Arabidopsis thaliana: one gene and its partners. The protein of the gene in region 3 interacts with the protein of the main gene of each other region in a pairwise test. Each region holds a gene or a part of one and is shown on either strand. Other genes may lie near its edges. The genes, in order: STP2, AT3G63210 and MPK1.

Region 1 (10,784 bases), 1.1 Mb from region 3:
ACAAAATTTTGTTTTAATTTTTTTTTTTACTTTGTCTTAGCTCAAATTATCAAAACAATAAAAAATTGTCTTAACCTTTTTCTGTTTTTCAACATTTTACTTAATTATATGTAAAACAAATTTACGTTTCTTTCCCTCTGAATTATTTTCTAGTTATATTTTGTATTTCATACACCTATGTGTAAGTGGTATAAAGAGTAAATTTAACTTCTTCTTCTTTTCAACAAGAGTAAATTTAACTTTAAAACTAAAAATTACATGATTTTATTAGTGATATATATAGTTGTTTTTGAATAGTTAATATAGATTATATTGATATGCACAAATCTCTTAGTGATTTGTCCCACTTTATTAGGAATCTTAAAAACTGAAGTTCGAGAATATTGTCGTTTGCTTAGACAATTCAATCCCCAAACTATAATTGTGCCTGATTATTTGAATACCAGAACTGAAAATATTAAACTTCTCCAACTGATTGATAAACATATCCAACTGAATCTTTAACAATTCGAACTACAAACTTAAAAAAATAGCAGAAAATAAAAATCAAACCCTAGCTAGAAAAATTAGAAAAGGTTCAAATTACTAGTTATTAACTAGGGACCTTGGGGAACAAAAAGAAAGAAAGAAAATGAAATCTAGTCTTTGAAATATTTCTTCCAACGCGGGTGCGTTTTCCAACGCTTCTCGGCCATTTCCTCAATAGGAACACCTTTGGTTTCGGGAAGAAAAAACACGACAAATAGTCCCATGATAATGTTCATTATTCCGAAGAAGAAGAACAATAATGATCTGAATCTGCAGAGAGCAGACAAGAAGAACTGTCCAATGATGAAAGTGCAGACCATGTTCATCGCCACCGCACAGAAGTAACCAGCATTTCTCACTTCAAGAGGGTAGATCTCAGACGGAACAAGCCATCCCAATGGACCCCAAGACCATGCAAATCCAGACACGTATACGCAGATGAGGATCAATACAATCAGCGGCACGGCATGGCCAGTAATAGGACCAACTAGCTTCAAGTGAGCTAAGAGAATGCCTCCAATTGTCATCTGCGTAAGATGATCAAAAAAAATACAAGTTAGCTTGTTATCCAAGTAAGAATATGTGTACCATGTGACACAAGCAAAAAAAAAAAAAAAAAAACTAACCTGTGTAGCGGTCATCTGGAGAGCTCCTTCCATCAGAAGACACCTTCTACCGGCGAAATCAACCACTAAAAGAGAGATAACTGTAGCGATTGCGTTCACACCATTGGTGACAACAGTAGAGATCAGAGAAGCGTTGTCACCACTACCCATCGTCTGGAACAAAACTGGAGCGTAGAACATAACCACGTTGATACCGGTGAACTGTTGAAAGAACTGAAGTAACGTTCCACACACCAATGGTGGTCTGTTCTCACTCTTGGTGAAGAGTTCTTTGAATGGGCTTTTCACCTTTGTCGCTACCTCTGTTGCGTATTTGATCTCATTGAACTCGAGCTCAATATCTTCAATGCCTCTGATCTTCCTCAGGACTTGCTTCCCCTTTTCGTCTTTACCGCGCTCGATGAGACTAGCCGGAGTCTCGTGGATAAAGAAGGATCCTATCAAGAGGATTAAAGCGGGGACAGCAGCACCACCGAGAGAATATCTCCAGCCGTTTTTCAACGTGGAAGTTAAGTAGTTCACATAACTTGCTGCTAAGATTCCAATGGTGATGAGAAACTGGAACATGACGTTTAGTCCTCCTCTGTATCTCGCCGGAGCAATCTCTGAGATGAACAATGGAACGGTCTGCAAAAGTATTGCTTTCAATGTTAATAAACAAAACAAAACAAAACACGATGAGTTAAGGCATAAAAACAGAGGAAACCCTAGGTGAAAACAGAGGAACCCTAGATGAAAACAGAGGAATCCACTGAGATAGAAAAACGTTTTGAGGGTTTGACATGATACCTGGTTACCGAAACCGATACCAAAGCCGAGAAGAATACGACCACCGATCAACATGCCGAGTTCTTGGGCAGATAAGTTGAGGATAGCACCGACGAGGAAGAAGATGGAGGCGAGCATGATTGTGGGTTTTCTTCCAAAAGCCCTAGAAACATAGGAAGAAATAAAGCTAGCGAAGATTCCAGCCAAGTAGAGTGAGGAAGTGAACAACTGCAAGAGCTGGTCATCGAATTTGCAGTAGTTGTTTTCGTGTACTCTGTGTTTCTTCTCGTACACGTGTGGGAAAAAATCTAACAAGAAAGTGTCCATACTCGTTACACCTCCTGCAAATTTTGATCACCATTAATTGATATCACTGAAAAAACAGTCAAACCCTAACAAACAAAAACCAATAGAAGAACAAACCTGAGATTCCGATGTCGTAACCAAACATGAGACCACCAACAGCAGCAATGACACAGCAAAGAAAGACTTGACCTGTCAGCTTCGCAGGAAAAGCTTTAGTGCCTTCTTCGACATTCATCGAACCAACAGCCATTGTTGTTGATCTCTTAGCTTCTTTTAATATTTCTGACTATGTGGTATTGAGGATCGTAAATAAAACTCAAATGCCTAAGAGAGGAGATGGGGTTTCTTTTATAGATGAGTGTGAGGGTTTTGGATAAACTAAGATTTAACAACTGAATCTTTTTGAACGAATTTTTCTTCTGACTCGATCCTGTTTTATCTGAGAATAAATGTGGATAATTACTGATAAGATATATGTGTTTTGATATTAAGATATTATCATTTAAATAAATAAACAATTAAATCGTTTAGATCAATATCGAGATTAAGAAATAAAAACTCTTTTTTTTTTAAGTAAAAGATAATGACGTTTGATCGACACAATAATAATTTTTTATACGACATATATGATCTCAGAGCTTGGCTTTTGATTATGTAATATTTTTAACATTCATATAATTACACAAGCAAGTCTGGGTAGAATATTTTTCCTATAAGAAATGAGTGTGAAAAAAGTTTTGGATAAAATTTAGACAAAATTATCCGCATGGTCATTGCATGAAAAAGAATAATAATCTACACCTATATAATCGTAAGAATTATAAGTATTTGTTATTAAAAAAAAAAAAAAAATTCTTGTTATACATTTTTCAGCATGGATAAAATTTTATCCAAATGTTTTTTTGGACATCATTTATCCACATTTAAAAGCAAATATTAATCCCATGAGAGAATACGAGAAAAACGCAGATAAGTTGATATACGGTTTTAAAAAAAAAAGGTGACCACTTATATTAAAAGGTAAAATTAATTGGTCATTAATATTAAAAAATATTTAGAGCTTCATAATCAGGAGAAGAGTTGTTGTTGTTGTAAAAAATTTTATCTTGTTGATAATCAACGATCCTTTATTTATTTTAAACTAAAAGAGAAAGTAATTTACTAAAATTTAGAAATAACCAATCATTATCAGATTTCCCATACTATAATACATTAAACTTTTTAAAAGACAACATAAATTATATCTCAGTTATCATCAAACAAAATGATGATCACTTCACTAAATCAAATTCCACACATTAATGTTCAACTTTAGCATATACATAAAATTTAGCTAGGGAACCTAAATCCTCTACACTGCATAAGCCTGAATTTGTTGAGTGTTCAACAAAAGGACAATGGCATCTAAAGAAGAAACTTCTTCTCTAGCTTCTCACTTGCCTCAGACTATCCTTGTTTTAGAAAACACACGTCATCATTTTGTTAAAGGTACATTTCAGTTCAAGTACTGTCATTGAAACTGATCTCTGAGCACACTTCATCTACTGTTCCCATCAACACCTGATTGATTCTGTGGAGATTCCGGATATGGAATCACTGGCGGAGGTTGACTATCTAATGTATGTTCCAAACTCTCAGAAGTCAGAGTATAAGTCTGGTCTAAAGATAACAACATGTCTGGTAACACTGATCTTGGGGAAGTAGCAGACTCGTCTGATGTGACATTGTTCACATTTGAAACTTCAGGTTCCACAAGTTCTTGCAACTCTTGAGTTGATTGGTCTCCATCATTTCCCCCAAAATGTTCTTGGGGTTCTTGATTTGTTCTTCTTTCAAAGGCTTCAGGTTCATCAGAGTCATCATTTATCTTCATCTCATCAGTCAAGTTTTGGACACGTTCCTGTCATAACGGTACAAGGAATATATTCAAATTCAACATTTTGAGAAACACATTGCAAGTAGCAATCATATTTCCATAAAACCTGACAAGAACAAGAACTATATAACCTCTTCTCTTCTCGAAATAACTTCATTGATGTGAGGAACTGTTGACTCTTCATGTATATAGAATCCTTTGTCTGAATTTTCCAGTGGAAAGCGTCCGGATTTTGAGCTCTCTTCTTCCTCAGATCTTCCGTTGATATCAGTACCATCAGACAGACCCTCAACTTGTTTGGCTACATAAGTTTCTGGAGAGACCTTAGAAATCGTTTCATTTAAATCTTTATCAACTTTCTCCACTGGTAACATTTGAGTTTCTTCAGTTCTATCCACAATGCTCTCCTCACCACTAAATCCCGTCTCCTTCCCAATGTCTGATTCGTTGACAATACGTGATTTTTCTTCATCAGAAGAATTATTCCCATCAACTGTAGTGGGAGGTGATCCAATTTCAGAAACCTCAACTTGAAGATCAGATTCTACAGATAACTTATGACCTTTTTTTGAGCTATAACCAAAATGCTCCACGTATCTTTGCCTTTCCGCTGCTAAAGAACTCGAAAGCGAACCAGTGTTTCTAGGAACTAAACCAACTAAAGGGTTTTCAACACGAAGATCACCATTTCCTTTCCCAGAAGTTCCAGAAAAATATGCTTGATTTGAGACATCAGAATTCATTTCCCTGTCTTCAGGAGAAAGCAATGAGTTTGAATCACTAACAACAATCTCTGTCATGTGTTCTGACTCCATATCATTTACTTCTCCTCTTGTTAGATCTTTTCCTTTCATTACAGGATGTTTCTCCCCAACCAATCCATCATTGCTACCTACATGAGCAAGGATCAGAATTGTAGAACTTAGAATCATTTACTTTGTAAGCTACAACATTTTTCAGAATGACAAGAGGATGTACCTTGTTGTGGTATTGACTTCTTTTTCCACGGTTCCCATTTCGTGTCAAGCTGATTGTCCAATGGAAAGACTCTGCGACAAAAGCTTTCATGGCGGCAGAAGAAGATATCATTAGGGTTGGCTGCAAACTCTTGCTGAAAACTATCTCCTGAGAGGTTAGGCTTCTCTTCTTGTGGATCATAAGGAATATCAAAAGGGTTTTTAGTTGGTAATAACACAGAAGGTGCAGATTCAGGCATTTGAAGACCATCAACTATATAGTTTTCTTGATCCAAACCGAAATAGTTCCGTCCAACACAGACTGGAGGAACTTCCATATCCATTAAGCTACTCTCAGCGGCAAGTCGGACTAATCTCCTCATTCTTCTTCTAGTAATCAAATGCTCTAACCTCTTGTTACGTTCCATCTCAGAGTTTCCTAAATCCATCAAATTCTTTTGATCATCCTCTGTCCAAGCTACAATCTTTTTGTCTTCACGTGTAGTTTCTTCTTCTTCTTCGCCTTCTGATGACGATGAACACTCGATCTCGGTTTCGCCACCACCACTAGTCAACCTCTCCGATGGATCCACAACGGAAACATTCCCGGTGGTTGAAAGAGTTTCTTCATCTAAGCTAGGCTCAAAGGAGAAACCTTCAGACACAAGAAAGGCTCCATCTTTCTTGAATTTCTGAAGTTTGGGAGATTTTGCAGTATTGGGAATTTCACCATAGAGAGTTGTTAAAATGACTCTGTCTCTCTCATCTTCACTAGCCTGAGAAGAGTCCCAATCTTTCCCAACCTCTTCAACTTTCCTTCTAGCGTTTCGTCGAACACTTCGTTGGTGCTTTAAGTCAGCCTTCCTTGTTTCTTCCTCCTCAGATCTCTTTTGGGAAAATGGTGAAAACCAATTATCCGTTTTGATATGCAAAAGCTTAAAACTTGGATGATTCCGAAGATAAAACACAGAGCATGCGATTAACGGAGAAGAGTAAAGGACGAAATAAAAAAGGCGTGGAAGAAAAATGTATAGGAGGAAGATAATTGCAGAAACACCAGAAACAACTGGGTGATTCCTTACGTTTCTATAAACGATGTTCGTGGAAAATCTGAGAATTTTCCAGAACAGAGTTCCGACATCTTTGGCATCGATTCCCATGTTTTAAACAGTTCAAATTCTCAGAACACTTTGAGAGATAATAACCCAAAGCATTCTGTCTATGGCGGTTTGTGTTTTGTCCTAGAGAATCAAAATGCTTGAAAGGGAAAAACAAATATGGTTTAATTGAAGAAGCGAAAATTGATCAATAAGAGAGAGGTCAAGCTTTCATTTGAAACAATAACCAGTCAATAAAAAATAGATTTTTCAAGGGTTTTTTTAGATTTTCGTTTTGGTTCTTTTTCAGTTTTCAGAACACACGGTAAGGACGGAGAAGACAAAATAGAAAACTGGTAAGAGAGGGCGGGAGTTAAATTAGTTGCTTTCTTACACATGTTTCCAAAGATTCTTGTTTTCTTACACTTTTAACCACATTTTTTACTGGTTCAGAAATTGACCCTTAAAGTTCATGGATTTTGCATCTCATATCTCTTTCTTCAAAAGATTGGGCTATCTTCTTAAGCCCACCAAGACCCATCAAATGTCTGTAAATAACATACACTATTGACACTTCCTAAGTTTTCTAGCTAATCCTTTTTTTTAGCAAGTTGTTAACAGATTTGTGTGAGACTATTCATGATTTTCAAAACCAAGATGAACATCAACGCTTAAAGCTTATAATAGCCACTCTTTCTTGTTAACTTGATGACTAAAGTCAATCTTTGTTGCTCAATCTTAACTGATACACACACAATCAACGTTACTCATGATATCTAATTTCACTCCTTACTCCTTCATTGAGAGTTGGACACAAAATCAGTATGACAAGAAATTGAGGATGATCTCTTAAGAAAAACTCTAAAAGTAAATACACATTTCTCTTGTTGTGACACAAAAAGGAAAGAGAAGACCTCATCAAGGAGAGTGAGAAGATGTACTCAAGATTAAACTCATAATTAAGCCACACTTGAAGCAATTGGAACTACGGGTGCTACTCATTCTTAAGCTTCCTCTGACCCTTCATAACACAAACAAATAATTACTTTTCCATATTAACACATCATATTTCTACCTCTTCAAGAAATTAAAACCAGACAAAAACGATCAAACACAACATTCAAAACATCAAATTTCGACAACAAGCCAGTTCCTTTCAAGAAAACACTAACCTTCCGTCTCATCTTCATCGTCATCTTCTTCCTCCACCGCATCAACACCGTACCTCGCATTCAAGAACTCCACAGCCGCAGGAGTCAGAACAAGCTTATCAGCGTTCAAAATATCAAACAGATTCAGTGTCCTAGGCGTCAACATCCTCAAGGTTCCAATGTTCCTACTCGATTTCGCCACATTCTCATCCACATCAATCATCAAGAACATAGCTTTCTCCTTGGGATCCAATCCCCACCTTTGCATCGCAGCTAAGAAATCTTTAGTCTTGGGCTTCTCAAACTTCTCCCCAAATTCCTCCACCACTATCGCACCACCTTCCGCAGATGCCGCACTCGATAACGCCGTAGATATCGCTAGCTTCTTCTCCTTCCTATTGATTTTAATTGACCAATCCTTAGGTCTTGGCCCAAACACCACACCTCCACCGGGACGTAACGGTGTTCTCTGAGATCCACGCCTCGCGTGGCCAGTTTTCTTCTGTGAGTAAGGTTTAATTCCACCACCACGAACTTCACCGCGAGTCAGTGTGGAAGCAGTACCTCGCCGCTTGTTATTCAGGTCCGTCACGATGGCTCGGTGCACAACGGCACGCGCGGTATCCTCCGGCGCCGCTTTGAGGTCTAGATACGTCTCTCCGACCTTCTCTCCTTCGAATGATAGAATCGGTAGAGTCGCTAGCTGGGAAGAGACAGAAAGCGGCTTCGAGACTCTGCCGGAGCCGAGTTTTGAAACGGAAATGTAGGTTTTAGGGATTTGGTGAGAGGAGGATAAAAAGAGAGAAGATGAGAAGAAAGATAGCGAATTTGGTGCTGTTGCAGAAGAAGCCATTGTTGTTCCCTGACCTGACCTATCACAACGAAGAAGAAGAAGAAAGACTGAGAAAGTGTTATCCACTCTTCAAATGCCTATCTTGTGCTTGGTGAGAATTTATGCATCTGTTTGGACATAAGGATATAACTATCCTGTTCATGAATAACTCCAGCTGTCGCTAGTAAGAAAGAGTCAAACTCCAAAAGTCAAAAGCCTCTTATATAGCCAGCAGGTTTTTTGAGACATAAAACTCTGTGATAAAACGATGATAGTTGATGATAGCTGAGACTTTGATACAGATATTTGAGATACGAGCGCACGTTAGCTAAGACCACCGCGTAAGCCACCGTCTCGTCTTGAAACGCACCGTATTCATGACTTCGTCGGAGCCACTCGACCTGGTTGTCACCGTCGTCTCTGCCAAGCACCTGAAGAATGTCAACTGGCGTAACGGTGACCTGAAACCCTACGTTGTTCTGTATCTTGACCAAGACCACCCTCTCTCCACCCGCTCCGATGATTCCTCCTCCATCAAACCGGTGTGGAACGAGCGGATTACTCTTCCTCTCACCCGATCTGTCCACGAATCGGTCCTCAACATCGAGGTTTTTCATTCCAATTCTTCGGATCTGGCGAAAACCCTCGTCGGATCGGTTAGGTTTCCTCTAGCTCGTTTGATTGACTCGGACGGGTCAATGATTCCGGAATTGATCAACTCGCTCGAGCTGGTTCGTCCATCGGGTCGACCACAGGGGAAGATTCGTTTGAAGCTCGCGATCAAAGACAGACCAATCCCTCCACCGCAGCATCCTCCGCCACGTCCTCAATCTCAACCACTAGATTACTATTCTGCCCCTCAAGGAAACCATTATTACTCCCCTAGCCCTCCTCCTCCTCCTCCTCCTCAAGCACCGATCACCGCTCCATCTCCTCAGCGTGACTACAGAGAATTCTCACAGTCACCGTCTCCGTCTCCTTACGCATTCACTGATCACTACTATTCCGGGTATTATTATCCGCCTCCTCCACCACGTTCAATGTACGATCGTGCCTCCAATTACGGCCTCCCAAGTGGCCCATCTGCTCCCGTTGATGCCTTCTCATCGATTGATCACAAGCAGCCTCCTTTAGCTCCTCCTCGGTTTTCTAACTACGGTCCACCGCCTAGTGGGCCCTCAGCACCCGTTGATGCCTTTCTGGTTACCGAGTACAAGCCACAAGCTCCACCTATGGGCTCGCGATTGTCTAGCTACGGAGTGCCTAATGGTCCATCGGCACCAGTCGATTACTCTCCTTATGATCACAGGCAGTTGCAGAAGACGATGGGTGGATTGAGCTTAGAGGAAGAGAGAGCTGCTGCAGAGAGGTCTGAGAGTGATTTCGGAGCTAGGCCAAACTACAGCTATGGCCGTGATTATCGCCGTGAATGTTGAGGATGGCAAAAAGTTGTTGAATTTCACAAGTGTGCGGCGTTTCTAAGGCTTTACTTATCATCAGATTTGTTGGTGTTAGAACACCAGGAAATGGCTGATGACAAAATATGAATTTGGTGAAGTATATGTTATGTCTATATGTATGTCTCGTTTGTGAATTGATTTGTTGCTTCTTTCTAGCTGATATTCGGTGTTACCCCTTCTGTACCTTTGTACATGTTTCTAAAACATCTCTCATTTCTTTCCTTCATTCAGTTTCTTGAATCAAGCTATTGGGTTCTTAGGGTTAATGTTCTAATGTGAATCACTTTACTGTTGATTTATTGTTTGAACCATGCTCTGATTAGGTATGGTAGTATGCTCTGTCTCAGACATGAACAGTCCTATATCCTGCGATTCTGCCGAATATTTTTGCAGGCTGGTTAAAGACTTTGGTTCTTATTTCATGTTTGATGATACCAATGTGTGATTTTCGTTTGGAACCAGTGATCTCCATATTCATTGAGCGTTTGGATTAATGTGTCTTGAATCATGCTCATCACAGTGCAGAAAAGATGTTCTCTCTGATCGTTTTGGGTAAAATGGTATGTACACGGTTGGTGCTAAGTCTATTGTGCTCTTGTTATAACGATGAGACAGAGCAGTTTTGCTATTGCATTCTTTTCCCTTTTGGCATTTTGGTAACCTGCTATACATATCAGTCAATCTCATGCTATTTGCATCTAATCACTGACAATCATGCAGGTATTATTGTTCTGTTCTCAATGGAATGTTTTCACATGTAAAATCACTCTATTCTCCAGATTGTGTGATCTTCTATTTATGTCCTGACACTCCCTGGTTTATTATATGCTTTCTCATATTCTTGTACCCACCATTAACTTGTTTTTTTGTTCTTTCCTTGATCCCTCCTTTTTATTGTAGCCGCAGACTCATGAAAGGAATCTGCATCCATAAAGGTAAGATTATATTGGCCTCTCCTGGAGTCAAAAAGAAACTTTTTTAGATTGTTATGTAACTTATGTGCACACATGAGTGATCATCAAAGAAGAATGATACCAAATGGTTGCTTAACCTTTTTCTTCACTTAAACAAAGGGTTTATTCCCTCTGTGGACCGTAAAGAAAAATAGAAAAAACTAAACCTAGTCTTCTCTTTTTGCTCTTGGGCATAGTTCTCTTTATAAATTTGTAGATCCACTTTAACTA
Region 2 (10,715 bases), on a different chromosome or scaffold from region 3:
ACAAAAGAAATTTTGAAAGAGAAAGAAAAAAAGAAGAAAGTAAACTGGCAGAGAAGAGGTCAGGGGTCGTGCGTCATTGATTTAGTCCAACCTTTATTATTGTCAAAAAAATATTACAGTTAAGAGTTAAGAGTTACCATAATAAGTAAGAGAATCAATTAGCTGTTTTGAGGGGGAATGACGTCGTCTTCTTCTAAATGAATTGCCTCGACCTTTGCTTCTGTTCCAAGTTTCCTGTCAGTAGTAGTAATTAACTACGTCAGCTGAGGTCATTGCCTATCTAATAACAAAGATACGGTCAAACTCTTGTCTTTCTTTTTTTTGGCAACCAATTAAATTCTTGTCTTTCGAGTATTGGCTTTCGTCATACCTCCAAGTAACGGGAAATAACGCCTTGATGATGCTTGCAATTTCCTTTTTTTATGTAAGAATCTATAAATATTCTTCCTTGGTATATTATTTTTACCATATTCAATTCCAGCAAAGAAGGTTTACGTATGGCTGCTGGGCTGCTGGCTACCTTCTCAAGAATTCGAATATCACACGCACGCATTAAACAAACAAATACGGCCACAGAATAAATGTAGAATTACCAACGGTAAGAGATTACCAGCTTTAATATGTTTACTGAAATGTTATTAACCCATTTAAAATTATTTTTAGAAAAAGATAAATGATAATGGGCCCGTTTTTTAATTATGGGCTTACAATACAGGGCCTGTTTTATTCATTGTTGTTGAATCTCCTTGATCTACATAGTCCACAGACAAAGCAAGCCCAAGTCTATTAGAGTATGCCCTAATAAAGTTGCATTCCAAAGCCTCTCTGAGTTTACGAGACTGCCGAAACCCAAAAGTGTAAACGCCAAAGACAAACTTTTTTGATTAATAAAAAAGATATCAGAAGCTGTCATATCCACCCTTAGAAAACACACTTGTACATCAAATTGGTTATGCAAAGAAGACTAAAAAAGGAGAATCCCAAATAACCAAAGAGAAAGTTTGATCGACAGATAATAATATGCCGATGCAAACTTGTGAGAGTAGTAAGCCAATTCCCCTTAAAAAACGAGGCAAAAGGCTTAATAGTTGCACACATCCATCTACACTGAACCCCAAATCATCATCAAATTCAAAATCATATATAAAAGCATGATGATGATGATGATGATGATGGTGATGATGAGATCCTATCTAATCCCTCATCTTTGGATGTTCTTCCCTTCTTAACATTTGCTTTCTGTCTCGAGAAATCTCTAAAGACGTCGCATGCCATCTGTTTTGCTCTGCATTGTTTTGAACAGAATGCCCCCAAGTATCTGCCAGATGGTTGCAACAAGGAATTTCACAAATGAAAACCATAGTAACAATACACACAAAGAATCCCTAACAATGATATATCTAAGCAGAGAGGAAAAGAAGCAAAAAACTGACCCGTACATGAAAACGTCCTCGTCATGACGTAGATTCTTCTTGCAGAAACGACATAGCTCAAGGAAGTTAGTGAGCTGAACTTGAGCCTTGTCTTTCTCTGCCGGCAACCAATCCGAAGAACCTACGTACTTTGGATGCTTCTCAGAGAAGCTTGGGGCTCGCGGTCTCTTGCTCGGAATCATTATATTCGCCATCCCTTGAGAGAGGGATTTCGGATTGTAATCGTTTTATAATCGTTTTCATGTTACGATCAAAACTCACAAAGATTTTAAATATAATAGCATATATGTAAATACGATTTTGAGGTAAAAAAGAATGAAAATAACATTTTTGTTTAAAAATTTGATGAAGTTGCCAAAATAGAGATATTAGGATCAGAGAATATCCAAATCGACATAAGTTTGTATTCTTCTAGACTTGGTGTCAATTTCTCTCACATGTGTATGTGTTGATGAAAAGAAAACGTTTTGATATTTTGTGTGGAAAGCAGCAACCCAAAGAAAAACATAAAAAGGCCGGTACGGGGGAGAATCATAAATGATGATTATAAAATCGGTTTAGTAATATCATAAACGTAAAAACGACGACGTAGCTTCTTTATTAAAACCTTGTTCTCTCCTTGCTCTTGTTGTTCCTTAACCTCGATTTGATTTGATTTGATTCAATTGTCGTCGTCCGGCAAAATCACAAGCTAACTTGTTTCTCCCGAGAGATATCTATCATCACAATCTCCTTCCTTCGTGTTCATCAATCTCCCGCCGCGCTTCAGGTAAAATTACCTCCAAATCTGTTGTTGGTTTATTATGCTAATCTAATCTAATTCTTAGCGTGCGACTTCTTCTTCTTCTTTGTGTTCCCTTTGATTTGTCTCTCTTTCGTAATCGTCGCCGGTGTCTCAGTTTCCGCTTTTGCTTTGCATTGGATTCGATTAAATGCTTTCGTCGGAGCCCAATCTTGATTCTCTCTCTCGCCTCAAGTTTTTAGGGTTTCTTTAAATCCAATTTCATCGATTATTTGCTGTGTGATGCGGCGGTGTCTTTTGAAATCGATTATAATGCTGTGTGATGCAGCTTCGAGAGAAGAATTTATTAGGTCTTACGGTGAAATAAGTTACTTCACCCAAAATCTTCACTTTACACGCTTCTCAGCTTTTTTGGTCAATTTTGGCATATTTGTATTCAAAGATTGGGCATTTGCAATTGCTTGTATCTGATGATCAATCTCATAAATGTGTTACAGACAAGAAACAATGTCTGGGCTGCTGGATGGAATCCCCGAAGCAGTGGCTCTGAGATGCCTGGCTCATGTGCCTTTACACCTTCATCCCAATTTAGAACTCGTCTCTCGCTCCTGGCGAGCTGCTATCCGCAGTCATGAGCTCTTCAGAGTCCGTAAAGAGCTCCGATCTTCTGAGCATCTCCTCTGCGTCTGTGCTTTCGATCCTGAGAACATCTGGCAAGTCTACAGTCCCAACTGTGATCGCTGGCTCACCCTCCCTCTCCTTCCTTCTCGTATCCGCCACCTTGCCCATTTCGGTGCTGTCACTACTGCCGGCATGCTCTTTGTCTTAGGCGGTGGCAGCGACGCTGTCAGCCCTGTTACCGGGGATCACGACGGTACCTTTGCTACTGACCAGGTCTGGTCTTACGACTTTGTACAGAGACAGTGGACTCCTCGCGCTTCAATGCTCGTGCCTCGTGCTATGTTCGCCTGCTGCGTTCTTCAAGGGAAGATTGTTGTTGCTGGCGGATTCACCACTTGCAGGAAATCCATATCTGGAGCGGAGATGTATGATCCTGAGAATGACGTCTGGACATCCATCCCAGATCTCCACCAGACTCATAACTCTGCCTGCTCGGGTCTAGTGGTAAACGGGAAAGTCCACGTCTTGCACAAAGGCTTGTCCACGGTGCAGGTTCTTGAGAGCGTTAAACTCGGGTGGGATGTCAAAGACTATGGCTGGCCGCAAGGTCCAATGGTGGTCGTTGAGGACGTGCTTTACGTGATGAGCCATGGGCTGGTGTTCAAGCAAGAAGGTGACACGTGGAAGATGGTTGCATCGGCCTCAGAGTTTAAGCGGAGGATCGGAATGGCGATGACGAGTTTGAGTGATGAGGTTTTGATCGTAGGAGGAGTGATCGGACCTGATAGGCTCAATTGGGACATCAAGCCCTTGTCAGATGTCGACGCTTTGACAGTTGGGAATGATCGTCCGGCCTGGAGGAGTGTGGCGCCGATGACAAGGTGTCGTGGGACGATCCTTGGCTGCACGCAGTTGACAATCTGATGGATGGGAATGTGGCTTCATTATGACGTCTTTCAGTTCTTTTTTGTTTTGTATTTTCTTCCTGTTTGTTAACTGTTGTGAGCATTATTGTTTTTAAATCTTCTTTGAGAAATGAAAATAAACGAATAGCAGCTATGTCTTGAGAAAATGTCATCAAAGCCTGGTTATTGTCTATAAACGAATAGCAGATTTATGTCTTGAGAAAATATCATTTATGAGTCTGGTGAAAAAAAAAAAAAAAAAATAGGTCTATTGATTGGGCTATATGTGGGAATGATATCAGGTTGGGTTTGGACAGGTTGCATAAGTTATTTTGTGTTGGGCCTTAAACAATCTGAAAGAGCAATATGGGTTTGAACATGGAGATATTTGGTCATTGAACAGAAAAACAAAATTGTGGTATTCAAGCTCTAAGGAGTATTTTGTAGTGTATAAGAGTAATGATTCGGATTTAAGACATGTTGACAAAGAAGCAATGATTTAAGAAAATGGACCTCTCATTATCTTGCTCATTTGCTTTCTTTATCTTTGGTAATTAGGGTGATATGACTATATCCTTGATAAACACAATATATCGGTGCCACTTTCGAATTAATAATAACCATGATTAAAGATGGCGAGTCATCAAAGAAATCATGAAATGGAAAGAAATATAAAAATTTCAGTATCGAATCAAATGAATGATTAGTGCTGATTCCACTCCAATTATATTTTATAACCTCTACGTCAGGTGGTTTAGAAGGAAATCAATCTATCAAGAGTCACGTCTATGGATTGGGAGTCAAAACATATACGTATGCTTCTGGTAGTAGTCGTAGTGATTAAGGGATCAAAGTTGTTAGACTGAATGGGTTACAAACACAATTACGGAATCGATGGACACACTCATTACATTAAAAAGAAATAGCACATTCAATGGCATATATGGATGAGTAGTCGCTATTTGTTTCTTCTTATTTGTAAGAAAATTAATCAGATGGATATTCACAAAATTAGATTTATCCGAAAGAAAAAAAAAAAAAAAAAGAGAAACCCAATTGAGGCAAGAAGAGACCTTGAGGCATGAAAACAAGACACAAATACACAAAATTTCCTTGGCTAAACAAAACATAGAAAATAAAAGCTTGAATCGACAGGGGGAGAAGAAAAGGCCAATATGATCACAACGTCATAGAAATAGCGAAAACCGTAGAGGAGGAGGAGGAGAGGACCTACACACTCCTGTCCACATCCTTTTAGCCCCACCGTGGGTCTATCACTAATTCCTTCCTCTATCGTATTATATCCGAATACGTTACTTTTCTTTCCCTACTAGGCTACCAAGTAATATTTATGTTTTCTTTTGCGTTGATTATTTGTAAGTGAAGTTATGATTATACATAATCTTGCAACTTGAAACTCTTTTTGTTTTTTCTTGAATCTTGGTATGAATCAGAAGTTGACGAGCTTAAACAATGAAAATGCGATAGTTAGATGGGATTCGAGAAAAACAAGATCAACAACAATAAAAGTGGTTCGACGAGTTATATAACTTTTTGGGTCAAATAAGTGATTATTATTATATAATTTGTCTTGTAATGGAGTAAAACGCATCAAGACCATTCAATCAAACGTTTACTAGTAGACAAACACACGTGGCGCTTATCTAGAACTTAATTATTGGATTAAGCAAAGCAGGTGCAACTGTGGACCCCCCTCTGATTACATTTGTTTTTTATCCACAAACTGTTTATAAAATATTTAGTAGTATAGATTAACATGTACATTATTCACTGATTATTGTTCCTACATTTTTAAATAACGTCACTGATTCTTTGATTAATAAAACAAGAAACCCAAATGAAAGTGAATTATGATTTGAGAAAGACAAACGAAATAATGACAAAATGCCGTATTATATAATAATGGATACAAATTGTAAGAAATAAATAACTCACAGTTTTTTTTACAAAAATGAAAAATAGTAGTATAAAATAAAAGGAGAGCCTGTGTTTCAGAGGCCCAAACATCAATGCACAAATAATGAATGTATCGCCGTTCAAGTGTATACCTAATAAACTAAATAAAAGTTTGTACATGCAACAAAAATAAAGAGAGAGTACAAATTCGATAATCTTGCAAAAGATGTTTCCAATCTTTTATCGTCGACCCAAAATGTAGTATGTTGTTGTTAAAATACACGACGACAAAAAAAAGAGAGTACGATACACATTCAATCATATCCGGTCCCTAATATGAATAATGGATCGAAAATAATTGAGATCTCTATGTGTTAATAAATGTAAGGGGTAAATCCGTAAAGTTGCATGCATTTCTTGGTTAAATCTACAACGTCCCGTCTCTCGAGATCACTCTCTCTCTCTCGCTCTTTGGAAGGAATAAAGAAGAGAGGAAAGAGATAAGTGAAAGCAACTTTTAATCTGATTTTTGCGAGTGAGGAGAGGATCATCATTTCATAGGAGTGAGAGACCCCATTAATACCAGAAGCAGTCAGAGTTTCTCAATAATTGTACCAAATTCTCTCTATTCTTCTTCTCTTTCATTTTAGATATTTTCTCTTACGCAGACTCATTGCTTTCCTCTCTCCATGGAAGCTACTGAGTTATGATCCTTACCCTCACCGGTCTTTAACTATGCTTAGAAACAAACCTAGAGCAGCCGTGACGACTAAGAAACAAACATCTCTGTTAATGGCTGATCAACCTCCACCTCCAAAGCCTAACACTTGCCACTGCTCACCATCTCTCTTTAGCTCTCCCAAGTTTAGGTTTTTCACTTCTAAGATGATGATGACTCCCTTTGACTCTGATTTCTCACTCGTTAGCCCTACGTCTATACTCGAAGCTAACCCATCCATCTTCTCCTCCAAAAACCCTAAACCCGTTTCCTATTTCGAGCCAACTATCCCTAATCCCCAGCGTTTTCACTCTCCAGACGTCTTTGGCCTAGCCGATCTCGTGAAAGACGGAGACAGTAACAGAGACCACTCTAGAAAACCTGTCAACAAGATGGTCCTTTTCGGGTCAAAGCTCAGAGTCCAGATCCCATCATCAGCTGATTTTGGAACTAAAACCGGCATCAGATATCCTCCTTGTCAACTTAGTCCTTGTGTCCAAACGAAGGTCTTAGCAGTGAGCGAGATTGACCAGACGGAGGACTACACGCGCGTCATCTCTCACGGTCCTAACCCAACCATCACTCATATCTTCGACAACTCTGTTTTCGTGGAGGCTACTCCTTGCTCTGTTCCTTTACCCCAACCAGCCATGGAGACCAAGAGCACCGAGAGTTTTCTAAGCCGTTGCTTCACCTGCAAGAAGAATCTTGACCAGAAACAGGACATCTACATATACAGGTTCGTACCTCCACAATCTTTTATCTATGTATTTGACTTTAATCAGATCATAGAGTGGTTCCAAAACTAAACTTAATCACAATGGTTGTGGTGCAGGGGAGAGAAAGGTTTTTGCAGCAGCGAGTGCAGGTACCAGGAGATGCTTCTTGATCAAATGGAGACCTAGCTAGCACTCCTTCTCCATCTCTTTTCATTTTTATTGATTTTGTCACAGCATCATCTACTTTTGTATTATTCTTTTAGTTCTCTGATGCTTCTTCTCTTTCTTTCTTTTTTTGGGTGGGGGTATTTGTATTTCTAGTCATAACCTTTCTCGCCTGCAGATATGTGAAAGATAGAGAGAGAGTTGATAACTTTTTTCTTTGTGTCATGAGAGTGAGTGACTCGGAGGGCTCAATAATATCATAAACTTGCAGAATACTGCCATCTGAATCAGAAAATATCAAAAGCATCAGTCTTTTCCATAACCTAACATTCGTCGTGGCTCTATGCGGTCTTGTAGAGGGAAAATGTTATTGCTATAAGGCCATTTGCTTTTTGATTTAATTTTGTTAACTTTGACAGCGCCAAGTTACAACAATATATCAAGTTTTGTTACCGTTTACCTCAGATTCTGAACTCAGACTCATTTTTCAGTCGAGAAAGGTTTCTGGGAAGCCATTGAACTCGTGTTTTTATCCTGTGAAATGAGTCTGATTTGGTGTTTACAAGTAAGTATATAATAACTCTAATCGCAATCAAACCAAACCAGATCAAACCATAGATGCAGGGGAGGGGATTTTGAGTGGTTAAATATCGATGGGCTATATCATGCATAATTAGGCCGGTCCCTAATAATACGGGCCAGATATGGGCCGTTTCTAATAGGGTCCGCAAGTAATGAGGTTAGAGTCCCAGGGATGATTGCATGTCTCGGTGGCGTGCCCAATTTGCAAGACAGATAACTAAATGTTGAGGACCCTCATCACTTTTTTTTTTTTGGAATAGACTCGTAAATTTAATATCAGAGCAGCTAGAAGGCCCAATCTCACGGAACCATTTAATTGTAAAAACAAAGTGTGAAGTTGTGTCAGTATCATGTTTAAGTTTATTATTCGAATCAGCCAGTACCTTAATATATGCAACATGGATGTTGGAGTAGATGTTAAGACTAATGAGAGGAAGGTCGTATATACTAGATATAGCCATATAGGAGATACCAAAATTAATCTGGTAATGTGTTCAGACTCTGAGTCTAATGTCAGCTTTCTGCATACTCTATAATAATCATGCATGATAGTATTTGTTGTGAATCAAGTGATTTATGAAGAATGAACAATTGAAGATACACATATGAAGAAACAAAGCTGTCAGTCATAAAGTAAAATAAATAAAATGTACTGTCCCTTTGGGTTTCCCGTGACACACATAGTAGAAATTTATAAGGAATCATTTGTAATAATGAATCTTTTGTTTTGGTAAATCATTTGTTGTAAGAAAAATGTTACAAAAAAAAAAGAAGAGGAAGAGATCTATCAATAGAAAAGTTGGGCCGAATGGTGGTGGAGGTTTCCGCCAGAGGTTCTCGTCCGTATTATGTTCATTGTCGTCGCTATGCGACAAAAAACTATTTTTATGTAACAAACAGTGTAACACACAAGTTGCCTTCATTTGTAAAGAAAAATAAAAAAGGATTTGAAGAAGACAGACAAGAAGATCTTAGCAAAATCCATTACATTTGCCCCTGACTTCACTTTTATATTACAGATTCGACTTCCTTTCTTTTATTTTATTTAAACACCATTTTAAGCAAACAAAAATAAAAAAGCAAAACTTATGACAAGTACAAAAACCCACACGTGTGCGGTCAGGTCTATTATACACATGACGGTGCCGATATTTCCTTCCTCTTCTTTTATTTTGTCAACCACTTGTATTTTTCTCTTTTATAAGTTTTAGATTATAAGCATATGTACAATTTTTTGCCAAAAAAAAAAAAAAAAAAAAGCATATGTACTATTTAAAATATAGCAGGTTATTTACTAATCAGTTACACAGCAAAAATATAGTTAAGTTCGTGATTGTGATTAAATTAATACCTTAACAATTTCAAAACTGAAATTTGTATGACTTATGCATTGATTTTAAAAACAACACGATTATTTTGCTGCATATACATATAGTAGAAATCAATTATTGTACGTTCACATTCAACAAAAAAAGTAGTTCGATTAATAAATAATATATGGACGTTCTTTCATTATTATATGTTCTATAACTCGCATTATTGGATCCATCAAACATTCGACTTTATATTTGAAATTAGTTGTTGGCTGGTTGACTCGTATTTCTTTTTCATACTCTCTCTACTGTATTTGTTGTTCGTTGATTTACTACTTACTTATACATCAAATGCTTGGATCACTTGTACAAATAAATCAATCTGCCATACTCGTATATTGTAACGGATAAATTCAAATATTTATATCTTGCAACAGTTGAATACTTTTTCTTTTTCATCGGCTTCATTTTTTTGTTCACTATTGTTTTCTTTATATTAATTGAAGAAGGGCCACAAACATTATACTTTATTTATTTGGGGCTTCTTAAATCTCATCATAGCCGATTTTGGGATTAACTAAGCACATCATAAAGCTAACATATAATCACTATTGTTATTATTTAATAAAGAAATAAAAACAAACGAGAATCTTTTCATCTTTGACGTTTTTGAATCTCTCAATCGCCGCCAAAATGATCCGTTATGTACTTATACAACAACGCTGCAAAACGTTATTTCTAAAACATTTGTACTTGGATAATTGGATTCTGTACACATCTATATTCTTTTTCTTCTTATACGCATTATCTCATATATATAACGTGATATTATATAAAACAATATATTATGACAAACTCTTAATTATTTTACTTTTTCCATATAAATATTAGTACTTGATTATTCTTTGTATGGTCGATATACTGAATATCGAAATTTGCATTGAACACTATTAGCAATCTTTATATTAATGTTATTTTTTATTTATTTGATATTTGAAATAAAAAGAAAGATATTTAATCACATCATATAGTTGGAGTTATTAATTACACAAGGACGCCACATTTGCATTTAACGGGGGCTACGTGCTTCGACGCATTGATGAGTAATTTAAACAGAAACACAACTTTAGGCTTATTAATCACATTTTAATGAATTATTGTTTTTAATCGTTTTATAATATAGAAATTATTTTCATTTTTCATTATGATTGTTGTATGCTATCTTCAAATATCATCCCGCCTAGGATCGTTATAATGGCTTTGCAAAAACACGAATTTTTAAAAGAAAGAAAAGTGCATGGTCGAGCTTTAGGTTAATTTATTTTATCACTTTGTATGCAGAACGCATAATTGTGATATAAAAATAATATTGAATAAAGCGTGGTATTGGTGGGCGAATATGGTCCCAAATAATTTCGTGTTCTGTTCTTATATTTTCTATTTCTGCATATTTTTTTATCACTCCCTTTTAATTTATCATATTATTTACTTTGTCAAATGAAAAAAAACAAGACAAAAATATTCAATTATCCAACCTATCACCATATTGATGACTTTAGCCGTACCATAGAACTCCAAGGAAATTCTCGAGACTTGATTA
Region 3 (10,960 bases):
GTTTGGTCTTGAAATCTTCTTCAGATTCTCATTCAATACACAGCTCTGTTTCTGCTCTGTTTCCAAATCTGTTTGCTTTATTTCTTTTTCCTGCTCTGTTTTTGATTCGGTCTTTACATTGAAATCATCTAGAACATCCTTATTCTTGACCTTGAAATCATCTAGAACGTCCTTCTTCTTGACCTTGAAATCATCTAGAACATCCTTCTTCTGACTTGCCCTCTTTGTCTTGATCATTACAGGGACGCACTCGCCGGAGCTAGTGAAGACAAACCGAACAAGAGGCGGTCCATCAGGATCAAGCCTCTTTGCGTAAATGCTCTGTCTTTTCTCATCGAGCTCAGATAGAAGTGCAGAGAACTTGTCAAGTCCTTGATTTGAATAAGGATTCTTGCTTTCTTTGTTTCCTCTTCTCGATCTCCTAGGTGACGAAAACGGACTCAACATATCAAATCAATTCAGTCCAATCAACAATATCCTCTTTTTTTTTTTTCTGTTACTGGTCCTTTGTGTGGAGAGGTTGTGAGAATTTGAGAGCTTGAAGGAATTTGGTTACGGAGGAGTTGTTAGGCAGGATTTAGTATTTGGACAAGAGAGACGGCTTTATTGTTATCATAATGAGACTTGTCTTAAACTAATTGTAAATATTTCAGATACACAAATGGATTGGTGATTTGACCAGATCTCATTAAATGTGATGAATTGATCAGATCACGTATTGTTGACACTTTTTTTGTTCTCTTTTAGGACGAATAGAAGATAAGTTTCTACCAAATGAAACGTCATCCCAGATGTATTTTGCTGATCTTACAAATTGACTTTCTTGCGGAAGAAGCTGCAAAAAAATTTCCATGATGGTGTAATCATATTTTTTTGGTTTATCATAAGTAATTGACTAATTGTTAATTTAACTTAGTTTTGACTTGGGGAGAAAGAAAGACAAAAGTGATTCAACCATAAACATATAGTTGGAATATTCATTGTTAATTTAAATTTCTGATGGGTTTACAAAAATTGGAAAATCCTCCAAGTTATTTATATACTATGAAAAGAAAAATGAATTATGAGAAGGAAAGTTGGTGTAGAAGAAAAAGCTTTTAGCCTTTAAGGCTTTTTAACCAATAGAAGCAACATATCATGTGTTGACAAAAAAATGAAGCATATCATGTGATAAATGAATGAGGAGGGTACTGATACTACTCACCAAAATTATCTTATAGAACTTCATTAAGAAATTGAAAGAAAAACAATACATTGTTTTTGTTACGATTTGGAAAGTTAGGTTCGGTGCAAAGGCCTACCCCTTCTATGAATCCGAAGGCCTATGATCATGGTGTGATCATCAAATATTCATATAACAAAATGCTTAATTGTTGATATTCTTAGATTTAAGCTATATGAGAACAACTATATGAAAACTTGATTCATCAAAAGGCTTGGATTGCATGAGAGGGTTAAAAGTTCTGCAAGAACGCAACAAACAAACAGAGAAACAGAAACACAGCTCTCTCTATGAACATATGTTACAGACACACATCAAGCTTGTAATTAAAAAAAAAACACAGCTCTTTCTATGTACATATGTTACAGACACACATCAAACTTGTAATTAAAAAAAAAAAACAGCTCTCTCTATGTACATATGTTACAGACACACATCAAGCTTGTAATTAAATAAAACAGAGCTTCCATGGCATCACTATTCGCTTAAACTATAAGTTAGTCTTCATCTTATTTTTCAAGACTATATACACTATGAGTCTATGATGACAATCAGACATAAGAAGAAGAAGTTTTCTGTAAATTACCCGTACAAACAAGACTTGAGCTCAGAGCTCAGTGTTTAAGGTTGAAGCTTGTGGATGGTAGTGAAGCATCTCATTCCACATCATTTCTCTTATCATCTCCTCTCTCAAATCCTCATCTACATCGAGATCGATAGGAACTTGAGCAGGAGGGTTTGCATTCGGGTCATATAGAGGCGCCATGTATGGATGCTGGAGTGCTTCAGAGACACTAATCCTCTTTGACGGATCAAAAACAAGCATTTTCTGCAGAAGGTCGATGGCCAAAACATGAGCGCCCGGGTAAAGTCTGGATAAAGACATCCCAGGTGAGTACGGAAGTGATCTAATGTATCTTTTAGCTTTCGGGTTATCTATGAACTCAAGATCTTCTTCTCTTTGGCTTCCGAGAATGTTGACAATGAGCTTCAGCTGGTTAAGACATTCCGTTCCTTGGAATATCGGTTTCCTACCAAGAAGCTCGGCGAAAATGCAACCAACAGACCAAACATCAATGGATGTTCCATAGTTGTCACAACAGAGGAGAAGCTCTGGGGCTCGGTACCAACGAGTCACAACATATTCAGTCATGAACTGACCCTTGGTGTTGCTCGCACGCGCTAGTCCAAAATCGCATATCTTTAAATCGCAGTTTGCGTTGACAAGAAGGTTACCAGGTTTCAAATCTCGGTGCAGGATATTGGCTGAATGAATATACTTGAGCCCTCGAAGCAACTACACAAAAAGAACAAAGCAAAGCAAAATTTCAGGAGAAAGCAAAGCTAGAACCAACAGTAAATGAACGGGATCAACCACACACCTGGAACAAGAAGTATTGGCAATGATCGTTACTAAGAACTTGAGAAGACTTGATAATCTGGTGGAGATCAGTGTCCATGAGCTCATAAACAAGATAAACATCCTTGAAGCTCATCTTATGAATTGGCATCATGACATCTTTCAAAGCAATGACATTCTCATGTCGAAGATGGCGTAGAAGCTTGAGCTCCCGAAGAGTCCTCAACGCATCGATCCTATTCTCATAAACATTGTGAATCTTCTTGATAGCAACTTTCTCGTTGGTGTCACTGTTAACAGAGGAGCAGACAACACCGTAAGCTCCACGACCAATAGGCTTGATAGGCATGTACTTAGTGTCGATCTCGAACAGAGTTTGCCACATTGAGAAGTAATGCTTCCCTTCATTCCTTATCCCATTAGGAGGATCAACCAAAGTCGCCATTTTTTGTTTTCCCTCTTCATCACAATTCACACACAATCAAGAAATCAAATTTACACACACAATTAACAAATTATTATACTAACTATTTATCAAAACTTTTCAAGTGATAAGTTACTGTAGATTTCTTGTGTAAACAGATTGGTCTGTTAATAATAGTGAAAAGGAAAAAGATCAAACTTTATCGATTTGGTGAAGGAACATAAACGATCGGAATCAATGGGAAAAAAGTTTACGGGATAAAGCGGGAAGGAAATTCTAACCGGTGATAAGTGACCAACGACGTTCCCCGGAGGTTAGATTTGGCCGGAGAGAGAAACCTGTGGAAGTGAGAGAGATTTGGCCAACGCTCGGACAGTTGACCTGCTACTTGTTCGTTACTAGGTAGTCTTTCCTTATATAATTTGGGCTTAAGTTGAGCCCAATTAATATTGGCAAACAGATTCACGTCTCTATCTTCTAAAATCAATTTCGGTATTTTTTAGTAACTGATCACCAAAGTAGCATCATTTGTGAATATGTGTTCTACGAAGATTTATAAAAATTGAAAATGAAGAAAAGTATTTTAAAGTAAAATATATCATAAATGTAAACAATGACACATGACTAAAATATTGCATCACCAATTCACCATCTTCTTTTGCTTTAACTTTACGTTTCCATCACACATCTTTTCATTTTGCTAAAATTAGCATCTAGAGGAAAATAAACTACAAAAGATTTAAAAGTTTTCATTAAGTCAGATTATTAATATAAGAGAGGAGGCCCATGCAGACAGAAAGGGAAAGCCCATAAATCTAAGCAGTGGCAAAAATGTTAGAAACTGTATAAAATGATACTAATAAATTGGTTGGAGTCTATTATAGTAGCAAATAAAAATAACGTTAGGTATTTTTGATTAAATAAAAGATGTTAGGTATCATTATGATCACTCATTCTCTTCAACCAATTATGTCAATACTACAGCTCATCAAAAGCCTTTATGGTAAAGCATGTTTCAGATATTTTCATTATTCATATACACACTACACAACATATAGTATTAAAGAAAATAAATAGTGTATAGATATTTAGAGATTTCCAACTAATTCAACATAACCAATACAGCTTTTAATCATTATCTAAAACCAGACAAAGATTCTTTCCAGTTGGTTTTCCCTGTTCTATTTCCTTACAAACAGTTATTGACTATTGAGCATTGCCTTCACTGTTGAGAAAAATTTGTGTAAATCTTACGCACTGTCAAGCAACTGCATGCATTCTCTAAATAATTACCTGACTCTAGATATAAAAGAACTGAATTAATGTAAAAAAAATATAAGCAAAATATCTAGGAGACAGATATTGACGGGTTACTTCAAGTTTGGACAAAAATAATTAAGAACACAAAAAATGCCGTTGAAACCTTTTCTTTTTGTAGTACAGTTTTTAGTTTTGTTGCTAACGTTCAAATTATTTATTTATTCATCGCTTATCTTGTTTTGTGGATTAGACAACCACGAAAAACAATGCTAGGGTTGTCAGAAACACCAAATATTCGAATTTGCATCCAAAATTCGATACTCATCTTGAACTTTTTTGTTTGTGACATTTTATTAAAAATTTCAATTTTTCCTAAAAGAATTTTACTTTAAATATTTAAAAAGAAGAAGCATGTTCATTTTTCAATATATCTGGTCCCCATATTAAAACAAGCAACAATAATTGACAATCTCTTTCTTTCATCTTCATCTTATTCTTCTTTATCTCTCTCTCTCTCTCAAGACTATTGAGCTTCTTTCTTTTTTCCTGAGTCTTTTAGTCTGATCTCTTACAAGAATGGCGTTCGCAGGAACAACCCAGAAATGCATGGCATGTGACAAAACAGTTTATCTTGTCGACAAGTTAACCGCCGATAACCGGGTCTACCACAAAGCTTGTTTCCGATGTCACCATTGCAAAGGAACTCTCAAGGTTTGATCTTTGATTCTAGTTTGTGATGATTTCTCATTAATCCAGAAGTAGATCTAGTAGATATATATGTAGATGAAGAAGTCCAATCAATTAAGTAGAAATCTTTGAATTTTTGGCTATGGAAACTGATTGGTCTAAAGATTTGACTGTTCTGTTTCTTCTTCTTCTTCTTCTTCTTCTTGATGAGTCAGCTTAGCAATTACAACTCCTTTGAAGGAGTTCTCTACTGCAGACCACATTTCGATCAAAACTTCAAGAGAACTGGAAGTCTTGAGAAAAGCTTCGAAGGTAAATTACCAAAAACAGATCAAAATGTGAAAAGCTTTGTGAGTGGGGATTTCAAATTTGGAATTATCTATCTAAAGTTTGATTCATATATATGTACAGGGACACCAAAGATTGGGAAACCTGATAGGCCTTTGGAGGGAGAGGTACTTTCGGACAGCAGAACAAAACCCTTTTTCTGTTTTTGAGGTTCTTGAATTTTTTTAACATTTAACATGAGAGAAGTTTAACAGAGACCTGCTGGAACCAAAGTTTCGAATATGTTTGGTGGAACACGAGAGAAATGCGTTGGTTGCGACAAAACCGTGTATCCAATTGAGAAGGTATCCAATCTCAAATCTTTCCTGATCAGAATCAAGTTGTGTCAAAGAAGATTGTTAGATTGTTTCCATAACGAATCTGATCTGTTCTTGGCTTAAACCAGAGCTGAAACATTGCTTATAATGTGGACTTTGTGTAGGTATCGGTGAATGGAACATTGTACCACAAGAGCTGCTTCAAGTGTACACATGGAGGCTGCACGATAAGCCCTTCGAATTACATAGCTCACGAGGGTAAGCTATATTGCAAGCATCATCATATTCAGCTGATCAAGGAGAAAGGAAACTTGAGCCAGCTCGAAGGAGGAGGAGAGAATGCCGCCAAGGACAAAGTCGTCGCTGCTTAAAGAAACAATTCAATCTCTCTGGGATGATTTTGACTATCGAAGAATCAAAAGAGTCACTACTTCTCCATCGATCGATAACATATATTGGTTTTGTTTCTTCCTACGTTTGTGTTTTTCTTTTTGGTCTTTAATATGTTTTTTTTTTTTTGGGACCTTTGTTCACTCTTTTATTGGGTTTCTTGAAATGAAACTAGAGAAACAAAGAAATAATGGATGTTTGCTTATGAGATATATATGTATTACGTTCATATGATATAAATTAATTTTCGTGAAGTTTAAGCTTCAGCTAAATGATCGATTCAATTGCTACCATCGTTGATTCAGGTTATTGATAATTTGTTACTCTTGGCAGAGAGGATGATGAAGTCGCGTGAAGATAGAGGATGGAGATGTAAACATATTGGGCTAATTCCTTACAAATGTTAACATAGATTAAAAACATAAAATAAAACAAACAAATAAGGGTAACAAACCGAAACAAGAGAGACAACCCATAACATTAATAGGCCCAACGACCAAACCCATGAGTCCCAACTCGGAGGAGACCAATCGACGAAAACCCCTACACAAGAGGCGCACTAACACAGAAAACAACCCTTTGCCGAAACTCAATCGGAGAAGGCTAACAAAAATTTTGCAAAGTACTTCGTGAACTTGAATTTGTAAAAACAAAACATATTGATTCATGGATTTTTTGTTTTAATGTTATTGTCTTCAAGGAAAAATCGGGAAAATAATGGCTACTATAGATATAATACAATGATATGAAATTAATTACAAGTAGAAAGTAGACATACTTATTAGCCCTATTGTAAATCTACCAAAATGATTTAAATCAATGGTATTATGTGTTAATTCATAATATTAACAGATTTTTATCTCAGGAATTGTTGAACAAACACTAATTACTTTTGGTCAATGCTAATTGATTAATCTACCATAAAACTCTTTCCCCAAAAATTTTGGTCAATGGTCTTGAATTAATTGAAAAATGTTTTGTTCCTCCTCCAGCCTTATATATTAAAGGGTTATCTTCCATGCTTCAAAATCAATAACTCTCTCGTCTCTCTCTATTGTTGATTCAAATGGAAGTGATATGGATGTTCTTAATGTGTTGCATCTTTGGTAACATAATTATAAATCATAACAATGACTTTGTTGAAGCTAAGAGCCTTTCTAAAGTTGAAGATTTAGAAATCGAGAAGAGACTAAGGACTATCAACAAACCTGCTGTCAAGATCATCAAGGTTTTAATATATCTTCATAACCATGTTACTGTTCTCTATATATTATACAATTAAGTAATAAATGTTAACTTCTTTATATATTGCTGTAATGATAGAGTATAGATGGAGAAAGATACGGATGTGTGGATTTCTTCAAGCAACCAGCATTTGATCACCCTTCAATGAAGAATCACACATACCATTACAAGGTATATATAATTTCATATATCAGTTCTATATACTTATATTCTTTTAGAAACATTAAAAGAAAACTACAGTAATATATTTATGGTGTTCGACATGTTTTAGATGCGCCCAATATGGAAAAGAATGAGAGAAAGAAAGACAAATAATACCAATTTTGGTTACCTATGGGAGAATGGTGTGGGTTGTCCCATTGGTACCGTCCCCATACAAAGAGTCACCAAAGAAGATCTTTTGAGATTCGACTCATTTGGCGATAATCATAAACCTCGTGGCTCTTGGAATTTTACCACTGATGATACTAATAGTGACAACCAACATCATGTACGTTGCTTCTTTTAATTAATAATGTTTTGATATATTTATACTGATTACTGATAATAAGAATTGGTTATTGAATGAAATTGAACGCTATTAGTTTGCGGTGGCTAGGACGGTTGGCCAAGACAAGAGGTTCAATGGAGCAACGATGGAACTTTGTTTAACCGCTCCTAAGGTTAGGCCAAACCAATTCAGTGCTTCTCGACTTCACATTCAGATTGGAAGTGATTTCCTCCAAACCGGTTTTACTGTAAGTTATTTGATTTAATTTGTTTGCCATCTACAACTTGCACTAGATAAAAGCACCTGTCAACGAGCTCTAGTTACTTAATTTATTTTAGTAACTAACAAAATATGTATTATATTGTTTCATGAACACATATTATATGTACTAATTCAGGTAAATCCAACATTGTACAAGGACGACCAACCTCGGACTTTCGTCTATACAAATGTGAGTCACGCATATCATGCTAGTAAATTTTTTCTTTAATTTTTATATTTTGTATACATGTTAGTAAGAAAATGTATATATTGATGGAACAGTCAGGTGGAAAATCATGTTACAATAATGACTGCGACGTAGGAATGATACTCGTTCGTCAAGATTTTCATCTTGGTATGGCATTATTGCCAGTGTCTGTTCGTGGTGCTAAGACAACTCATTATGCAATCTTCGGTCTAATCAAGGTTTAAATAATTAGGAGTATGACACAGCATTCACAATTTTATGCATACATATTTGTGTGTTTCTTAAACTAATGAAAAAATTCACCTATTATTTTCGGGTAACAGGACCAAATAAATGGAAATTGGTGGTTGCAATTTGGTAATGCTGCAGAGGAAGTTGGATTTTGGCCGTCGAGTAGATTTCATCAAAGCTCTGGAAATTTGGTGGAGTGGGGTGGAGAAGCGTATAGTGCATCACAGCCGAGTCCTCAAATGGGATATGGATATTTTCTTGATGCTAGTATGCGCTACGATGCATATATCAAACGGATATCTGTAATCGACGGTTTTAATAACATTGACCGCAAAGTGGCATATACCGAAAAATTCGTGGACGATACTCGTGGCTACCAAGTTGTAGACGACTATAATATTCCCGCATACCCAGAAGCCGGTCATATAATCTTTTACGGTGGTCCGGGGAATATCTAAATATGATTAATTACATCTCTGTGGAATAAAAATTAATAAAACATTACATTGACTTGATTATACAATAAATATCGTCATCATGCGTTTCTTTTGGATTTTAAGATTATAAATGTTTGTACTAAAAGAAATATTTCGAACTAGATCCTCGTTGATTATAATTGATTCCTGGAAACAAAACAAGGTAAAAATAGGGTGAACAATCTAAAATTGCTTAGTGACTTTGGTAACACTCACCAAGTTATAAGTGTGAATATTTTGTTGTCTACGTTTTTTGTTTACTATTCTTTTTCTTCTCCATTTTGTTATATCTTGAATTTTATTTAAAATTCAGTCACAAAAACGAATTAATTACTTAGATGTTATAGAAAAGTATGAATATTACTAGAATATCATACATCTTTTAAAAGTTACTCATATATTTTGAGTATTTGTGTAATTATAATTAACACCTTTGATTAGCTAATATTATTTAATTTGTTTTTAATTAAGAAATAAATAAAAAATAATTCACATCAATAATCCACGTTAAAACCGAAAATAATTAAAATCTTTCAATTTCCCAATATTTTTAGAAAATATAATTGGAACCAATTGTAAAAATGTAAGAATATTTAACTAATAAGAGATGTACTCGACGAGTTAAAAATTTCATAATAAAAATTTATAATTTAAAAACAAGGTAAAAATAAAAATAGTATTTTTGTGAGATAAATCATATATATGAAAGTTGACCAATTCTCTCCATATGATTGACACATCATCACTTTAACATTTGCCATGTGTCCACTGAATAATTAATGTAAGCTCTTCAACTTTTAATTTATAGATTAATGATATATTTATTATTTAATTTTACATATTTAATTGTACTAATACTAAATTTATTTTGTTATTAAATGTTTTTCAATAAAATAATTTGATTGGTTTTCTCATACTCAAAAGATTTTTTTCTGTAATCTTAACTCAAATTATGAGTGTATAGTAGTCATGGATTAATTAATAGTTTGAATAGTTTGCATATTGTTATATATCTATATAATAAATCGCCGAGGGTGAAGAGTATGTAAGAAGTTTAATCATCAAATTCTTAGGTTTCGAGAATCCCAATATTACCCTCTATTTAATTAGTTTAAGACGAACATTGTTTATGAATTGTGTGTATAATGCATTGTTGAGAATGTTGTTAGAAAAAATATATTTTAATACTAAGAATAATTACTTATTATATAAGTAAATGATTAGATAATTAAAAATTATATTTAAATTAAACGATACAAAAAATTTGAAAATACCGCAGCATAGCGCGGGTGATTAACTAGTGTTACTAATAAATATAGAAGAACGGTTTTATAAAATATGTTTTGGAACACATAAAATATAGGAATGGGCCGAATGGCCTTGTGTGTGGAGAAAACATTTGTTACTATAGTGACGAAAAAGAAAATACTCCCGTGAAGAAATTTAACAGCTTGTGTTACTTACTTACTTGTTTAGCACTTTGGTTCTCCATTCAAATATCTGAACCAATAATAATAGACCAAAAAAGAACCAAAATCCTTTTTGTACCTGCTTTGTCTGTTTTATAATGTCCATGGCTAAGCCCAATTTTTGTCGGGAAGGCCCATTATCAATATATATTAATTTGAAGGAAAAAACTAAAAAGGGATTTAAAAAAGAGAGAACCAAATCGAATTTCTAAAACACTCAATGGATCCTAGAATCCTTGAACCGAACTATCCAACACCGCAGAGAACAACACAAAGCGAATCAAATACCCAGGAATTAAGAGCGAACCGGAGAAAACCAGCATCAAATGTCAAAACCTTTCTTTTTCTTTATTTTACTACCTCTTGTGCTCTATTTCCAGCTCGAGCAGGCAATTTGTATTGGTCATCATATAGGTTTGAATTTTAATGAATTGGTCAACCCTGAAGTCAACGAGATATTTCGTTTTGTGAATTGTGGTTAAACAAAATTTTGATTTTGAGATTAAAATTGTAGTAGAAGTTTAGGAAATAGTGTAGACTTACTTCTTCATGGCGAAAAAGGTATGACAAAAACCATAAGAACCATCGTGCCGTCTTTGGCTTGAGATATTACACTACATGCCGTTTTGTGT

The links.
Region 1: the proteins of MPK1 (region 3) and STP2 interact in binary tests that used the Arabidopsis thaliana proteins (3 or more experiments, as listed by UniProt).
Region 2: the proteins of MPK1 (region 3) and AT3G63210 interact in binary tests that used the Arabidopsis thaliana proteins (3 or more experiments, as listed by UniProt).

The regions. Positions count from the first base shown.
Region 1 is NC_003070.9:2,246,567-2,257,350, reverse strand, and holds STP2 (sugar transporter 2), read right to left. Parts: upstream 2,530-10,784; 5' UTR 2,479-2,529; coding exon 2,346-2,478; intron 2,264-2,345; coding exon 1,944-2,263; intron 1,782-1,943; coding exon 1,155-1,781; intron 1,056-1,154; coding exon 639-1,055; 3' UTR 501-638; downstream 1-500. Other genes in the region: AT1G07330 (dentin sialophosphoprotein), read right to left, coding at 3,766-4,128, 4,236-4,996, 5,083-6,220; RPL4 (ribosomal protein L4), read right to left, coding at 7,162-7,178, 7,330-8,161; AT1G07310 (Calcium-dependent lipid-binding (CaLB domain) family protein), read left to right, coding at 8,518-9,576; AT1G07300 (josephin protein-like protein), read left to right, coding at 10,346-10,535. UniProt on the Arabidopsis thaliana protein: Mediates an active uptake of hexoses, probably by sugar/hydrogen symport. Can transport glucose, 3-O-methylglucose, xylose, mannose, fructose and galactose.
Region 2 is NC_003074.8:23,350,545-23,361,259, reverse strand, and holds AT3G63210 (mediator of aba-regulated dormancy protein (DUF581)), read left to right. Parts: upstream 1-5,779; 5' UTR 5,780-6,353; coding exon 6,354-7,075; intron 7,076-7,155; coding exon of another isoform or gene 7,156-7,171; coding exon 7,172-7,241; coding exon of another isoform or gene 7,242-7,269; 3' UTR 7,270-7,746; downstream 7,747-10,715. Other genes in the region: AT3G63230 (senescence-associated-like protein (DUF581)), read right to left, coding at 922-1,107, 1,231-1,318, 1,434-1,627; AT3G63220 (Galactose oxidase/kelch repeat superfamily protein), read left to right, coding at 2,662-3,720; AT3G63215 (uncharacterized protein), read right to left, coding at 6,920-7,030, 7,156-7,269. UniProt on the Arabidopsis thaliana protein: May act as an adapter to facilitate the interaction of SnRK1 complex with effector proteins, conferring tissue- and stimulus-type specific differences in the SnRK1 regulation pathway. Involved in seed dormancy control.
Region 3 is NC_003070.9:3,341,646-3,352,605, reverse strand, and holds MPK1 (mitogen-activated protein kinase 1), read right to left. Parts: upstream 3,525-10,960; 5' UTR 3,288-3,524; exon of another isoform or gene 3,042-3,287; 5' UTR 3,028-3,041; coding exon 2,605-3,027; intron 2,520-2,604; coding exon 1,830-2,519; 3' UTR 1,426-1,829; downstream 1-1,425. Other genes in the region: AT1G10220 (ZCF37), read right to left, coding at 1-447; WLIM1 (GATA type zinc finger transcription factor family protein), read left to right, coding at 4,843-4,977, 5,169-5,265, 5,365-5,408, 5,496-5,585, 5,723-5,929; AT1G10190 (NEP-interacting protein, putative (DUF239)), read left to right, coding at 7,015-7,176, 7,272-7,364, 7,465-7,683, 7,778-7,930, 8,081-8,134, 8,227-8,370, 8,476-8,841.